Linked DNA regions of Struthio camelus. Each later gene encodes a partner of the first gene's protein in a complex. Links are inferred from orthologs where the notes say so. Each region holds a gene or a part of one and is shown in the gene's direction. Other genes may lie near its edges. The genes, in order: LRRC7 and CAMK2A.

What was found.
Region 2: the proteins of LRRC7 (region 1) and CAMK2A are in contact, whole or in part, in a crystal structure (PDB 6X5G), measured with the Homo sapiens proteins. The link is inferred for Struthio camelus from reciprocal best matches to the Homo sapiens genes LRRC7 and CAMK2A. Residues at the interface, in NP_001357714.1 of Homo sapiens: His843, Gly844, Arg845, Arg846, Pro847, Leu848, Ile849, Arg850, Gln851, Asp852, Arg853, Ile854, Val855; in NP_001350919.1 of Homo sapiens: Glu96, Phe98, Glu99, Ile101, Val102, Lys137, Glu139, Leu159, Phe173, Ala174, Gly175, Thr176, Pro177, Gly178, Tyr179, Leu180, Ile205, Gly209, Tyr210, Pro211, Pro212, Phe213, Trp214, Tyr222, Gln224, Pro233, Glu236.

What each region holds. Positions count from the first base shown.
Region 1 is NC_090949.1:37,447,001-37,454,687, forward strand, and holds the start of LRRC7 (leucine-rich repeat-containing protein 7), read left to right. Parts: upstream 1-4,647; 5' UTR 4,648-4,720; coding exon 4,721-4,745; intron 4,746-7,687.
Region 2 is NC_090954.1:7,423,738-7,431,101, reverse strand, and holds the start of CAMK2A (calcium/calmodulin-dependent protein kinase type II subunit alpha), read left to right. Parts: upstream 1-4,352; 5' UTR 4,353-4,501; coding exon 4,502-4,563; intron 4,564-7,364. UniProt on the Homo sapiens protein: Calcium/calmodulin-dependent protein kinase that functions autonomously after Ca(2+)/calmodulin-binding and autophosphorylation, and is involved in various processes, such as synaptic plasticity, neurotransmitter release and long-term potentiation.

The sequences.
Region 1 (7,687 bases):
TTGCAATATTTCATTTATAGTACTGAAATCCCCAAATCGTATTGGAGATAACTCTATTTTTACCAGTGTAACCGAGAGCGTTACCAAGGTGGCAGCCTGCACTTTGGGGGTAGGAGTTGCACTGGTCAAATTAAACTTATGTTAGCCTGCTTTTTAGTTTCTGTTAAAATGTTTTCTTCCTTTTAATCACACTTTTTTCACACCTCTCTGCACAGTCTCCTAAATTCTGCAGTACGCAGAAAGGTGTGAGGGACCATTAAAGCGAGGTCTGTTCCTGTAATCTGTCCCTTCTTCCAGTCCTCCCGCGTGTCACCGTTCCAGCACTGTGTCTGGAAGGTTTTTCATGGACTCAGAGATCTCTCAGCTTTTTTCTTGAAAAGGCCAGAAAATAGGTAAATGCTGCTGTATGCCCCAACCAGGAATCGAAGGCAGTTACTGTTTTGTAGTAGCTGACTGGGCTTTTAGTTACCGTCTGCCTTCACCTATTTAGAAAGAGGGCAAAAAACCCAACACCCATATACACCATAGCAATCCCTGACTCATCCACTCTTCCCGACCTGAACCGTAAAACCTCCAAAAATGAATTATTTTCCTCATTTAGAAATATATAAAGTAGCACTGGAGAGAGCTTAGTGCGACCAGAGGAAAAAAATATATGGAGAACTCTGTAGAGAAAATTCTCAAAGCTATGTAGCATCACCATTTATTAAAGAATTTTATTCTTAATAACTATTGTTTCTCCATATATTTCAGGCTTTTTAAAAATGAGAAAAAAATACTTTATTCCAGTCTTAGCCAGTTTTCAACCAGTGCTCTGATTGACCAGGCTGTCTTCCTGGCTAGTATAACTCCAACGGACCCAAGTAAAATCAGACTTGCAGAATTCAGTCAAGGAAGGCATCTCGTTTTCCAATACAATTTGCTGGAGGAATTTCGTTCTTTTAAAACTTTCATTAGCCAGATCTACAAATGAATAGAAATCACTGTGGAGGGGGGGTTATTTACCTGTGTAGGCCAGTGAAAATACATTGAGTTACACATCTTGAAGCCCAGGCTGTGTGCTTGTTCAGCTATTCAATTTCATTTTTGTACTGAGCAATGTTTAGGGATATGCCCCAGATCCACATTTTTTCATAAAGCAAATATTTGGGCCTCATCTTTATTTGTCTAGAGTTGGCATGTCTCCACTGAAGTTAGTTGAAATGAAACCAGTATGAAACTCATGTAAGACTAAGCAGAATCAGGATTTTGAATTAAGCAGTGATTCAGGATTCATGATGCTCTTTACGTGATACTCAACCACTTCCGTGTTATCCATAAACAGAAGTAATAACACATGTACAGTGATAATCACGTAACGAAAACATCATGCTTTTTTTCCCAGACTCCTTTGTACTCCCTGAGAGGGATGCAATATCTCAACCTAACCATATGCTATTTCTTTAGTGATTGTCATAGCCTAATTCCGGTTTTATTGCAAATGTATCCTTTTGCGCTGCAGTATAGCGGCGTAATGCAGCAGCTGCTTGTGACACAACAAAGTTTTACAAATATATGTGACTACAGTAATTCAGCTCTTGTTCATTTGGGTCCTGCTAGCCATAGTGGCTCTCGGCGCCGAAGGCAGCAGTGCAGAGAGGCAAGCACAAAAGCGCCAGCTGCTCAGCGGAGTAAGGCAGCCGGAGCTGCCCCGAGCGGGGCCGGGGAGGCCGCGGGTCAGCACTGCAGCTCCTCCAGGCCTCGTGGAGTTACTCGAGGAGCGATTCTTCAGCACCAGACACTGTCGGTAGTTAAGAAGTTGCCTACCTTGAATACGAGTGTGTAGTCCAGCTCCATGGCTCAGCAACAGCCATTTTCCACCTTTATATATTTAACTATGACACTTCAGAGTCTATCAAGTTACCCTCGTTTTCTTCATCCCTAAAGGTCCTGTATGAATCCCATTTCCCCTTCCAGTGTACAAATCATCCCCAGCTATGAACTCGGACCCTTTCCGTTACTGCGGAGTCAATGGATTTCTTCCCCGCGCTGGGTTTCGGGTACAGCTGTAACCTCCCAGCCCCGGCTGCTGCAGGAGTCGACGAGGGCGCGCTGCTGCTCTTCGGCCCGGGCAGAGCCGCAGCTTTGGGAGGCCAGCGCTCGAGCCTGGATAAGGCAGCGTCAAACATCGGAAAGCGACTGCACTGAATTTTGTTTCATGAGGGGCATATACAGATGGGTAGGGTTACAGCTACTGCTGTCGTGCAGAACTTGTCACTTACTGCTCTTGGGGCTGCATCGTGAGCCCGCCTCGCTAGTCGGAGGGATGAGCAGGTCCCTCGCCACAACCACAGCAGAAACGTTAGGACTCGGGTGGCTCCTTCGGGCACTGCACGCTCCTGCGCTGGCGATTTCGGCCCCTGGCCTGATGGGCAAGAGCTGTGGCCACTGAAATTGGAGCTGCTCCCCTCCGCTGCCTCTAGCAGAGCTGGGTTTTGCCCAAGCAGGCAGGCAGTCTGTCCAGGGTCTCGCGCTGGTTGCCATCTCTGCAGCATCTCCCCACCGCCCTGCATGTCTGCATGTCTTGCATTGATGAAAATGACCCTACAGTACATTGCAATGACTATTCATAGACAAAATTGAGGATGGAAGAGCAGGAAACGCCATTGCAAAGGCCATGGGAAAAACACAAGAGGCTCAGGAAGGTCTCCAATAGGAGACGATAGGATGATAATTCAGGGCTGGTGTCTGGAAGAGGACAGTCTTGTTATTAATGCTGAAATCTCAGTCTTGTGGAGCAGGAATTAAAGCCCTAACTTTAGAGCTGGACTACCCTTACACGCCCCTTCTAGGGCCATCGCCTTCGTGGGGCCTTGATCCTCTCCTCATCTCCGGAGAACCTGCATTGTTCCTGCTTCTCCCTGCTCTGGCTGCAGCTCTGGCAAGGCAATGCCTGAGGGTTTCTCCCTCTCAACGCTTGCCGTTACCGGGCAGAAGGATCCAGCTGCCTTTTGTTGGTAAGGAGAAGAGTTTTCCAGGCGTTTGCCGGTTCCAATGCTTTTTATTTTGCAAAATCTTGGAGATGTTTCACAGGTTTTTAGAGAATGTATGAGAGGAACTCCCTGCTATAACACACCCTATGCTCTCGTGGTGCGGCCGATCTCGCGGGGGATAAATCTGCATCATCTGCCTAGCAGAAGCTGCCCCTGACATGCCCTCGTCGCTCCCGAGTGGGCTGGCGTTGGCCTTCCCCGGAGGGCCGGAGCCTGTCTGTCCCTTGGCCGAGTCCCCAGCGGTGTGCGACGCTCGTTTCTCAGTGCGGTAACTCCACGAGTGCCCCAGGCCACGGGCAGGACTCGGCTTGGCGCTGGCTAGACCCGCGGAGGCCGCAGGGGCGGCCGGCTGCGTGCAGCGGGGGAGATGCATCCTGCCTTCCTGGGGCCGCAAAACCCCAGGAACCAACCTGGAGAAAACGCATGATAACTAAAGCCTCGTAGGGTTATAGAGTGCAACTAACTGGGGAAACAAACGCTTTGTTGCTGAAGTTGAAGACTGCATCCCAGGCTGGAATGAAACCGTTCAATAGCTGCTTCGGAATAGGCAAATTTTGGTGGAGCAAAGCTATCTGGGGCCAGATTTCAGTTCCCACTCCAGTCATCCAGGCGAACAGGAGGGCAGGGGAGCGTCCGCGCCAGCTGCCTTCCCGCGGGAGGCGTTCGACCTCCGCCGCCCGCCCGCCCGCCACAGATGCTGTCAGCGGGAAGAGCTTACCTCTGCCGTGGGGATTAGCCACATCGAACAGGGATGAAAACCTCTGTACCGGGCATTAAGTCTCTGACGATTCTCTCCAGCTCCTAATAAACGCTTTCCCTCTCTGATGGCAGAAAGCTGCCGTACTGCCGGGCAAGTCGGGTTGGGAACTTGCCCAGCAAAGTGCGGCCCACCGACTGCCCCGCTGCCGGGAGCCTGCGGCACGCTCACCCCGGGGCTGCTGCCGGCTCCTGCCCGCGAGCCGCCCCCTGCAACACCCGCGACGGGGAACGTTTGAAACCTCCGAGAGGAGCAACGGAGGAGGTGGACAGCAAATGTTGAACGCCAGGTGCGAAGCAGGCTTTGCAGAGAGCCTGATGTTTGCCCCGCGATAACTTGCCGGCTGCAATAACCGCTCCGCAGCGCGCCAACGAAGCTGCACAGAGAACCCAGCAACGGCCAGTAACTCCAAACGTGCACCGATATGACACCAAGTCATCTAACGTGAGTAAGCGAAGGTCTGACGCGCGCGACCTCTTGCTGCCCGCCGTACTGACGGTCCGCTCGGGGGCCGCAGCAGGCCACCCGCGCCGGTGTTGGCCACCCCGCTGCCCCGGGGCTGAGCCCGGGCACCCTCCCCGCGGCAGCCCCAGGCGGGGCCCGGAGGCCGGGGCCGAAACGCAACTTCGTGCAGGTGCCGAAACCGGCTCCCGCCGCCGGCCAGGGAAGGGGCCGCGGCGCCCCGTCGGGGCAGCGGGCGGGCGGGCGGGCGGCGCCGCCGCGCAGCGCAGCGCGGGCGCGCAGCGGGCCCCGCCCCGCGCCACCGCCGCCGCCGCCTCCGCGTCCGAGCCCGGGCACCGCCCCGCGGCGCGCACGGGGGCGGGTCCTGCGCGGCGCGGCGCGGCCGGCGGCGGGCGGCGAGCCGCGGGCGCGGGCAGCCCTGGCGGCGCCCCCGCACGCTCCGCGCCCCCGGACCGCGGCTCGGCGGCGCATGGACGCGCGCTCCCGCCTGCACCGTGAGTACCGCCGCGGCCGGGGGGCGCGGGGCGCGCAGGGGGCCGCGCTGCCCCGGCGGCCGCGGAGCCGCCGCTCCTCGGATCGGGGGCGGCAGCCGGCGGAGCGGCCCCGCCGGGGCTGCGCGGGGCGCGGAGCGAGGCGGCGGAGCCGCGGCAGCACTTGCGCCGGGGAGGCGGCTCCCGCGGCGCCGCCGGGGCCGGGCCCGGCGCCCCTGCGGGCTGCGGGAGCGGCGCGCCCGCCTCTCCCGGCGGCTGGGGCGCCGCGGTACCGCCGCCTCGGGGGGTTTCCACCCTCACTGCCTTTCACCTCCCTCAACTAAGCCCTCGAGCTCGGCAAAGCTCCTGGAAAATTCTGCGCCCTTTCCAGCGTTCCCACCTTGCGCGGGAGCATCGGCGCCCGGCGGAGGCATGCGGAGGGGCAGCAGCGCGGAGCCGTCGCCTTCCAGCGGCCGGGGCGCCCCTCGCGCCCGTGGGGCTTAAACGCCGTCAGCTCTCTTCCGACACCGTCGGGTTTTTGCCTCTTGACCGCCTGGAGGAAGGGTAGCGTGTGTTGGAAGTTGCTTGCTTGTAATTCAAGAGCCGTAGGACAATAGGTATGAGCTCATCCTTATTCCCGTTGAGTCTGGAGGACACCCCCGGGACCCCGGCGCGTGCCGGTGGGCCGCAGGCGCGGGGCGTCGGGGCCCGCAGCTCCCCCGCCGCCGGCCGGGGTGCCGGCGCGGGGCGCGAGCACCGAGCGCCCGGCGAGATGGCCGGGCTTGGCCAGGGTTTGTCTCCGCGGCTGGACTGGTGAAGGGTCGTGTCAGGGAAAGCGCCCTTGGAAGTTTCTTGGTTTTGGGGAGATAAAAATAATATATACCTTGGCTATTTCTAGGCTGCCTATTGCTATAATTAAATCATTTTTTCTTTTGTACGTCTCTGATCTTCAGCTAAAAGCTTGAGCCACGTGCCACTCTTGATTTTTACCCTGAGGTGTTCTGGGTGCTTTTGGTGTTTAGGGATAGATAAATGCATTTTTCTCATTGTTACGCGACGAGAGAAGTGACTTAATCTCGTGGATTTTGCTCTTACGCATCGGCTTACTGTGATACCCAACCGAGAATGTATGCTTGCCATGGCAACCTCTAGATTACATATTACAGCTACTCACTTGGAAGTAGCAAGACTTTCTTAAAGAAATATGAACAGCAGGCTGATTTCAGCATCTACATAATTATAAATAAACTGTGTATGTTGGAAAACATGACCTCTTTGATAAGAACATTAATGCTGCTGCAGTTCATAAGTAGGTTTTTATGAGAGGGAAAGGGAGTCGGACTTCGGAGAAGGTCATGTATTCTTCTTTCTGTGCAATACCAGTGAAAGAAGGTTTCTTTGTTTTCAAGCAGTCTGTACTTTAAAAGCTGTTTTAATTTAGTGATCTTGTAATCAGATATCTTGATGTGTCATGATAGCTTGATGCCCATTTGAACTTTAACCTTTGCTAAAGCTTGACGTGGAAAACTGTTTCTCAGTCACGCAAACAGTAATTTTTTTCTAATATCTCACAGAGGAGGAGCTTTTTTGTGTGGTTTTGTTATACAAATGATGCGCATATTTAAAAAAGGCTTTATATTAAACCAATTTCTGCAGATAATCGTTAATAATTGTAAATGATATATCAACTGTTTAACAAGTAAGGAACAGCAGGTAAAAAGCAACTGTTTCTTTCTGCGGAGCCTGGCTGCAGGCAGCTGCTCGGAAGATGGCAGGAACAGTGTTTGTGGCAACTGTGGGAGCCCATCAAAGGAAGGAGTCGCGTGTGCTGATGAGCAAATTCTTCACTCCTTGGTCCCATAAGAATTTATCAACACTTTTTAATCATTGATTAAAATTTTTTTTAAGTAGTAGACGCTTGTGAAAGGCATTTTAAAAGGAAGATTGTCCACTATCTGGAATTTCAAGACAGCGGTGTGTGCTTGCCGTTAAAGCCACAAAACTTCAGATTAACAAGGAATTAATTGCCCTTGAGGTATGTGCATCAGTACAAAGTGATGGTTGTGTGCACTGGTCTTAAAACGGACGCCAGGGATGGGAAATACTGCAGTGCACTGAACTTCAGCCTAAACCCAGAAAATAGGGATTAACCCACATATGGAAGCAGGCAGCAGACAGACACTCGCCCACCCCGCCGCCTCGCAGAGCTCCCGGCGCGTGCGGGCGGCCGGAGGCTGCGTGTGCCCGCCGGGGGCTGTGGGGCAGCTCTGCGCCCGGCCACACGCCGTCCCTGCGGTTTTTGCCCTGGCCGATGGGGTTCGCCGATCGGATGCGAGGGGGCCGTGAGACGGATGCTGTTTCCCAGGAGTTGCCATTTAGCGTCTGAGACTGCCGATAGGAGTGGAGGGCTGATGATGTGCAGTGAAGGTTGGATAATGCTTCAGAAATGGTGAATTTTAGTGTACTACGCGTTCAACTAATACAAAACCCTGTAATGGTGTGACTTACCCGTTCACGTGACTGACTGTCCAGTATAAGAAAAAATGTTTTCCTTTACGTGAGAGTGTATTAATCCATCAGACTAGTGTAGACGCTTGGCAAAGAAGATGGCCCATTGTATAGGTATTTGAAAGTGCGTATTGAAAACCGTGTGAAATGTAATATAGAAAACTATACCAAAAATATTCGATGCTGCTTTATGATACAAACTAACAACCCAGTAGGACTAAGCTGAGCACAGACTAGGCCCCCAAATGTTGTATTAAGCTCTATTTAAAGATCTCCTAGAGCCACTGCGCGTCTTCAGTTTTCATCTGGCCTCTCTCTAATTTTAGTGATTTCTGTAGGCTTTAATTTGCTGGCATGGCAGATTGCATCAAATCCTATGAAAAGTCCTTTAGAACTGCTAGTTTTTTATCCGTTTTTTTTTTTTCTGGGAGTGCAGCAATTTGTTGACAGCAGATAAG
Region 2 (7,364 bases), on another chromosome or scaffold:
AAGGGTGCCAGGGCTGGAAAACAGCGGGGGATCGTCTGAAGAAGCTGCTGTGAAGAGACCATACGTGTTCCTCCAGCAGCCTGGCCTGGCAGTCAGCAGTGTTCGCTCTCCCTCCAGTGCCTCCCACGGAGCAAGCAGGGACACCTCACTGCCTCTTCTGGGACAACCCCGTCCCACCGCTGCTTATTGATGGCTCCTGGGATAGCACAGCGCAGGGCAGCTCCAGGCATGGGGAGAAACGAAATGATGTGCCAAGATCACGTGTTTTGGAACAGTTCAAGCCCCTTAAGATGCCTGTAAGCTCCGGCTGCAAAGGGGTTAAGGCAGCCGGTGGGCGAGACGCTGCCAAGCTGGCTGTGGAGCTCTTTGCCTTGCCGGCGATGTTCGCACCAAGGAGATCTGTTTACACAGACAAGCTGAGAGCTCTCCTCACTCCTTCCCTCCCGCTCTTGAAAAATCAGCGCAAGCCAAAGTCTACTTAAAATCCTGGGCTGGGAGCTGAGTGCGGGGCAGATTCCCACGGAGGCGATGGGGAAGGGGGATGCATGTGGGGTCGTCAAGGCAGGAAAGTACATCTCCTTATAACTGCCCTCGTGGGAGGGCAGCAAGGAGGGCACATGCCGTGGGCAACTCATGCCGAGGAGCGGATGGTCCAGATAAGGGGGTTGTATTTGCAAGGGTGGTTGCATCCTCTCTCCTACCAGGGGTTCGAGGATATGAGGTTTCCCCGTGGCAGAGTGGAGCTAGCGTGCAAGGGCAAGTGATGGCCCAAGAGAGCCGCAGGGCGCCTGGTGGCAGTCCCCACGCACCCAGCATCCTGCCTGCAGAAGGCCTATTCCTGCGGGTCTCCAGCCAAGGACCCTGGTGTCCAGGGAAGAAGTGGCCCTGGGGACACCCCCTCCCCACCAAAAGCTGAGCTGCTGTGGGGCAGCAGGAGGGAGCAGCAGGGCCTGCAGGGACAGGGCACATTTGAAAACACAACCTTAAATGTAAATCTGTTCTCCTTGCCATGGTATTTATAATCCTTATCTAAAAATAACCAAGAATTCAGCTTTCCAGAGGACATCAACTGAGCATCCCCCAGACCCCAGCTTGCGTGTGAAACTGTCCCAGTAATTTTGGGATCTCTGCAATATGTAAATCGCAGCTCCGCTTGTTTTGCATGTGAGACATAACTGCAGGCTCTCTTAGGCCCGCGTAAGCCCCTGTCCCCTGGGAGGAGGGGGGTCCTGCCGCAGCCCCCCCCGGGCAACGCTGCTGCTCGCTGAAGGCTGAGCCGTCCCTGAGCCCCACGGGCCAGTCGCCCGTCTCGTGCCTGGCGGGCGGAGGGGCAGGACGCAGCGCCCCGGCCCGGGGGGCTGAACGGGGGGACGTCCCCGCGGGGAAGGGCGCAGCCGAGGCCCCGCGGCTTCCCCGTTTGCAGCCCAGCCGGGATGCGGGCACTGGACAGCGGGGCGCGGAGCCGAAGGGTGCGCGTGGGCGAGCAGGAGGCGTTTCTGGCGAGGCAGCCAGGGTGATGGCGGGGAGGCGCTCGGGAGGAAGGTCTCCATCAGGCGGCGAGAGCCCAGCACAGCAGCAGAGAGGGGCCTGCCGGGAGCTCCAGAGCCCCGCAGCGCGACCCGGGGCGGCCACGCAGCTCGCTCCAGCCGCCCTGGACAAAAGACCGCGGCGGGCTTTCCTAAGAGAGATCCCGAGACCGCCGCGAGGGGTCTGGGACTTCTCCCTGTCCCCGGGGGTGGGGAGAGACCTCCTGCCGGCAGCACCCAGCCCCAGGTGGGAAAGGTTCCCCCCCAAAACGCCTGCTTCGCTTCATGTCTTCCCCAGGAAATGGGGAGTTTAGCGAAGCAGCGTTGCCCATGGGGGAAAATTTCAGGGGCAACTCAGAGCATCTTCAACCCGCCGAAACCTAAGACCCACCCCCCCCACCCGGCGAAGGAAAAACGCTGATGAAAAAGGAAAAAAATGGGTGGGGAAGAGGTGAGCAGGGGAGAAACCCTTGGCCAAGCGGCACCGCTCTGCGGGGCGGGAGCAGCCTCGGGGCAGAGTCCGAGCCGCCCAAAGGGGCTTCGCAGCGCAGCTCCCTGCGGGGCTCTCGGCCGGCGTCGCCCGCGTGCCGGCTCCGCGGGCAGCGCGGCGCGCGGGCGCGTGGGCACGCGCGGAGGCGGGCGGGCGAGCGAGCCGTGCGCGTGCGGGCGGGCTCCTGCCTCCCTCCGCTCCGAGTGGGCTCCCTCGCGGCAAAGCCCTGCAGCTCGCCGTGGGATTTGGATGGCGAGAGGAGAGGGGGGTCTTGAGGCAGAGGGGGGCGTTTTGGGGACAGCGCATACTCCCGGGACACAGGTCACACGGAAGCGTCGGCTTCACCCAAAACCGCGGTGCCGGCGGGCCCGGCTCGCTGTCCACAAGCGGCCGCACGGCCAGGGTGGGTCAGGAGGCCGGCAGCCCCCAAGGAGACAAGTGAGCCTCCGTGCCATCTCCACCATCATTTAAGCAAGCAGCATTGGTTAGTCACCTCAGAGGCAAAAACGCCCGGGAATTCGGCCCCGGCTGGGCAGGGAGGCTGCGATGGCCCCCGTCTCGCCGGTGCACCGGGGCACGGAGCGGGAGGCTGGAGCGCGGGAAGGAAAAGGTGGGTATGAAAGTGGGTAATGGTGCAATTAATGGAAAAGCCATTAGACCTTTCTCCTCCTCCCCCTCCTCTTCCTCACTCAGCCACTTGCTGTCCTCCTCCACTTCCACCTCCTTTCTTCTCTCCCTCTCTCCGCCCCTCCTTCTCTCTCTCCTCTCGAAGATTTCTCCCTATTTTTGTCTGGTTAGAGCCTTTTCTTTTCCTTTTAACCCTTCCATGGCAGCCTGAAAGGGAACTAAATCAATCTCGTCTGCCAAAAGCAGTTCCTTCCCGGCGGGCTGCGGGAGGCCTTGCTGCAGCGGTCCTTTCCCCTCTCCCGCGGCAGCGGGGGCTCCTCCACGCTGCTCCCTCGGCAGGATGGATAGTCCTGCCAAAATGTCCAGAAACTAGAAAAATACTTGGAAGAAAACTCCCCTGCGGGGGGGGGGGGGGGGGGGGGTCAGACAGGCACAAAAAGGCCCGAAGCCGGGAGGGTGTCAGGGGACAGGGTCAGGGTCGATGGACCTTTGGGGCAAACCCATAGGGGTAAATCTGGACTCAAAAACGGAAGGGATAAGGATACTATGGCATTGCCTGGGCTTGGCGGCCTCGCCGTGCTGCGAGCCCGGAGCAAACCCCAGCAAGGAGGAGGGTGGCGGGGACGAGCCGGGGGCCGGAGGAGAGGGTGCTGGTGCCGCATCGGCGAAGAGCCCCAGGCTGGCTCTGGCAGAAACCTCTCCCCCAGGGCCTCAGGTCCCAGGGCTCACTCCTTTTTTTTTAATGTTCTCTCTCTTTTTTTTTTAAGCATTAGACACCCAGGGGCTTGACTTGCCGTTATTTGCGAGACGCGTCCTCGGTGGATTTTCGGCTCCGTTTGTGACCTTACCATTAGAAGCAGCCGGAGACTGAAATCTGAGCAGCTGCGGGGGGGGATGGCAGGGAGGGCTGGGTGGCACAGATATAAAAGGCTTTATTCTTAATTCACATGCTGGAGAAACACTCGGGAGAAAGGCTCCCGTGCTGCCATGCCCCGGTCCCCACCCTGTCAAAGCCTCCTCCAGCGCCTCAGCCGGCAGAGCGCCCGCTGGGAGGCTTTAAAACAAAAAGGGAGACCTTCCTCCTCCAAAATCCCTCCCCACCCCGCAATCTGCTCCTGGCTGGACATTGCAGGGAAATGAAAGCCCAAAAGCGTTTCTTCCCCGGGGGCGGCGCGGCGGGCGCGGGGCGCTTGGGCAGCGCGGGAGCCGGCGGCGGTCCCGGCCCCGCTGGGCACTGCGCCCCCCCTCGCCCGGCGCCCGGGTGGCCCCGGCCGGAGCCAGGGGCCGCAGGCGGCAGTGGCCGGGGCTGGGGGTGCAAAGCCGTTGCCGGGGTGATGGCAGCCTGTCCGTCCCCTCCTGCAACATGGAATCTGTGGTTTCCATGGAAACCTGGGTTTGGGGGTTTTTTTTGGTTTTTTGATTTTTTTTTGTTGCTTCCTTGGGGGGGGGGGGGGGTTGCCCTAATTCTTCTTCTGCCGCCACATCCTTCGGTTTGCCTTTAACGTTTGCGTCTTCAGCTTTGCCCCCCGCCGGCGAGCCAGCGACCCCCAGCCCGGCAGGGCCTGGTCCCCGCGGCGCCGGCCGAGCCCCGCGTTTTGGGAAGCAGTTGCCCCGGCAACAGAAACAGGGCGTTTCTGGCAGAGGTGGTCGCCATGGGGACGGGGATGCTGACGAAGGCTTGCGAGGCTGAGAAGACAAATTGCCCTCATCATTATCTCCGGGCTTGTCAATCAAACATATTCCCTTATTTACCTCGGCGAGGAGAGAGCCCCGGGAGCACACGGAGAGGGAGGGAGTGAGAGGAGAGGCACTCGCACCGAACTCGGCGCCGGGGAGGGAGCGCTCCCAGCCCCGCGGCATGGCCACCATAACCTGCAATCGCTTCACCGAGGAATACCAGCTCTTCGAAGAACTGGGCAAGTAAGTTGGAGACGGGGCTCGGATGCTCCCCGGCCGCCCGGAGCGGCAGAGGGGCTTCACCCGGCTGGGAAAAGCCTCGGGAGCAGCCGCGGGGGAGAAAAGGCACCGGGCTCCGTCCGTCCGCCCGCCGGGGCTGCTCGGCGACGGGCCGTGCCGCGGCATCGCGAGCGGTCCGGGGAGGGGGCTGCGGGAACGGGACCCCTCTCGCGGAGGAGAGACCCCAGCTCCTCGGAGAGGCTGCTGCCGGGGCACCTGGCAACTTGCGCAGCTGCGAGGAGGGACGGGACAGCGGAGAGGCGAGCCTGAGCCACTGGTGCCCCCCGCGTTTCTTTAGGGAAATCCTCTGCGCCAGGTTCCCCGGGTGCTGTGGGAGCCCCAACCCGCTCAGCAGCTCCCGGAGAAAGCAGGCAGCGAAGCCAGCTGCCATCCATCCCTTCCACATCCCCGGCGCTTGCCGAAAGCAGCTCCGCAGGGGCACCCCGGTGTGCGAGCACCCCGCGGGTGAGCCATCGCCCAGCCCTGCCGCGGCTTTGCTGCCGGCGAGGGCTCGCCTGGCGGGGGTTGGTCACGGTGCCTGCACGTGCAGGTCTTTGCCGATCTGGGTGCGCGTAGGTGCGCATAGGTGCGTGCGTGCAAAGAGAAATGTGCCGGTGCACAACTGCCTGGTGGGCTTATCCTGCGGGGTGCTGAGCACCCCAGGGCGGAGCAGCAATTCAGGTCGCCCGTGCGGGCAGAGGGATGCTCCGCATCGGAGTGCGTCTGCATGCACGGGTGAGCAGGCGTGTGTCTGTGTTTTGGTTTCTGTGCCTCTTTTTCAAAGGAGCATGTAAATCTGGGGCGTTTGGCTGCTTTTCCCTCGGAGGGGCTCCCCGAGAGCCTTGCGTGTCACGGCTTTGTCTCCGAACTGGGGGGGGTGTATCTGCCGGATGCCAGAGCGCATCTGTTTCGAATGTGCAGTTATGTCCATCTGTAGGCATGGAAACTTGCTCCAGCCTTGCATGCCTGCATTGCACAGCGCAGGGTGAGCCTGTGCCTAAATCGGTGCCCGCGCGCCTGCGTGGGTGTGCAAAATGGGGGAGAGCAAGAAAGGAGAGGACAGAGATGGAGAAATCAAGGGGATAAAATCAGGGAGGACTTTGCACCAGGTTAAATGCGGTTATTATTTCCCATCCAGATAGGGGGACCAGGTTGCTGCTAGAGACCAGTGCAGCTCCTTGGAAGCGAATGGACCAGGATGTGCAAATGTGGCTTTATGTCCCCTTGGAGACAGGTCAGCCGCGCAGTGCCCCAGCGTGTGGTGCTTTTCGCCCAGCTTGGCAACTGCGTCATTGCTGGGGTGAGGTGCTGGAGCGGAGCAGTGAGTCAGTGGCCAGGTCTCCGTAGCACGGGGAGGCCGTGCCGGCACTGCAGGCAGGGGGGCGAGCACCCTCCGCGGAGCTGGCAGCAAGCTGGGGTTTGGGACCTGCTGTTTCCAGAGGTTTCGCAGCTCTTCCGAGCTCCGAGACGCTGCGAGCATGTCACGGGGTGGGCAGGAGAGGTGGCAGCTGAAGGTGCTGAGATACCACTTGGTGGCATGGAGGGAAGTTGCTGGGAGCTGGCTGGGCAGAAATAGTGTGAGGGGCCACAGACAAGATGCTGTCAGCAAAGGTGTGATGGGGAAGGGCCGGAAGAGCTGCTGCATTGAGGGTACAACTGCTTTGCTAGGCAGGCACGCGACACAGCGGGGTGCGAGATCAGCGCGGAGCCCGAGCAGTTCCCAGAGCCCCAGCCGGCACCACTGTGACGGACCATGTTGAGAGCTGCATTTCTGCAAGTACACAAATAAGCAGGCTGACAGCAGGGGAAAGCCAGGATTTGCACAGCTCATCCCAAACCCTCAGCCAAGCTCTGTGAGCCAGAGAGATGCAGGCCCTCGCCAGCTCCCAGGAGCATCTGTCCCTGCCGACAGGCAGCTCTAACCTCTCCCTCCTGCTGCGGCCTGATTCAATTAGAGAGCGGTGGTGCAGTGGCAGAGCTGCTCATTCTCGGTGCTAAGGGGAGCTGCTTGAGCTCAGAGCATCCTACTGATTTTTGCCTTAGCTGGAAAGAGGCAGATGCCACTGTAGCGCTGAGACATGCTCCCGAGTAAGTTATAGGCCTCGGTGGACTTTTCTGGGCTCACAAGTCAGTGCACTGTAGAGCTGGTGGGGAATTTTCCACTGGGATGGTTTCCAATGCATCATGTGGTTTCTGCAAAATCAGCGGTTTCCCAGTGGGGAAATTCCCATTTTGTGGGCTCGGAACAGGAAATCCAGATGAAGTGTTGTACCTCTCGAGTGAGAGCGTGCTCCTTCTGCCTCGTCAGTCCGGTGCCATGAGCTCCACAGTGGGGAATGACGTTCCTCCCAGACACTTTGCTCGCCCCTCCAATGAGCTGCTCCCTGCAGGGCTCCGGACCACAGGGCAATGGGAAAGATTGGGCTAAATCGAGGGGGAATCACAGCAGATGCTGCTGGGCAAAGAAGTGTGGCCAGCGAGGCCAGGAAAGGACCTCCTCAAGGCATGACCCTGGGGCTGGGGTGATTCACGGTACCCGTTGGCACCCCAAAGAGGAGCAGCATCCCAGAGGAGCTGCGAGGCCACAGAGGTGAAAGGCTGCACCTCGAGTCTGCTGGCAGGGCAGCACAGCCGCAGCCTCCTGGGTGCCCCAGGGTGGTCCAGTGAGCCGCTGGGGTTGACGCGGGGCATCCCTGAGGCAGCTGCCAGGAGGAGAGCTGGAGGGAGCTGGGGTGACAACCTCTGCACTGCTGGCCTGCTGGGAA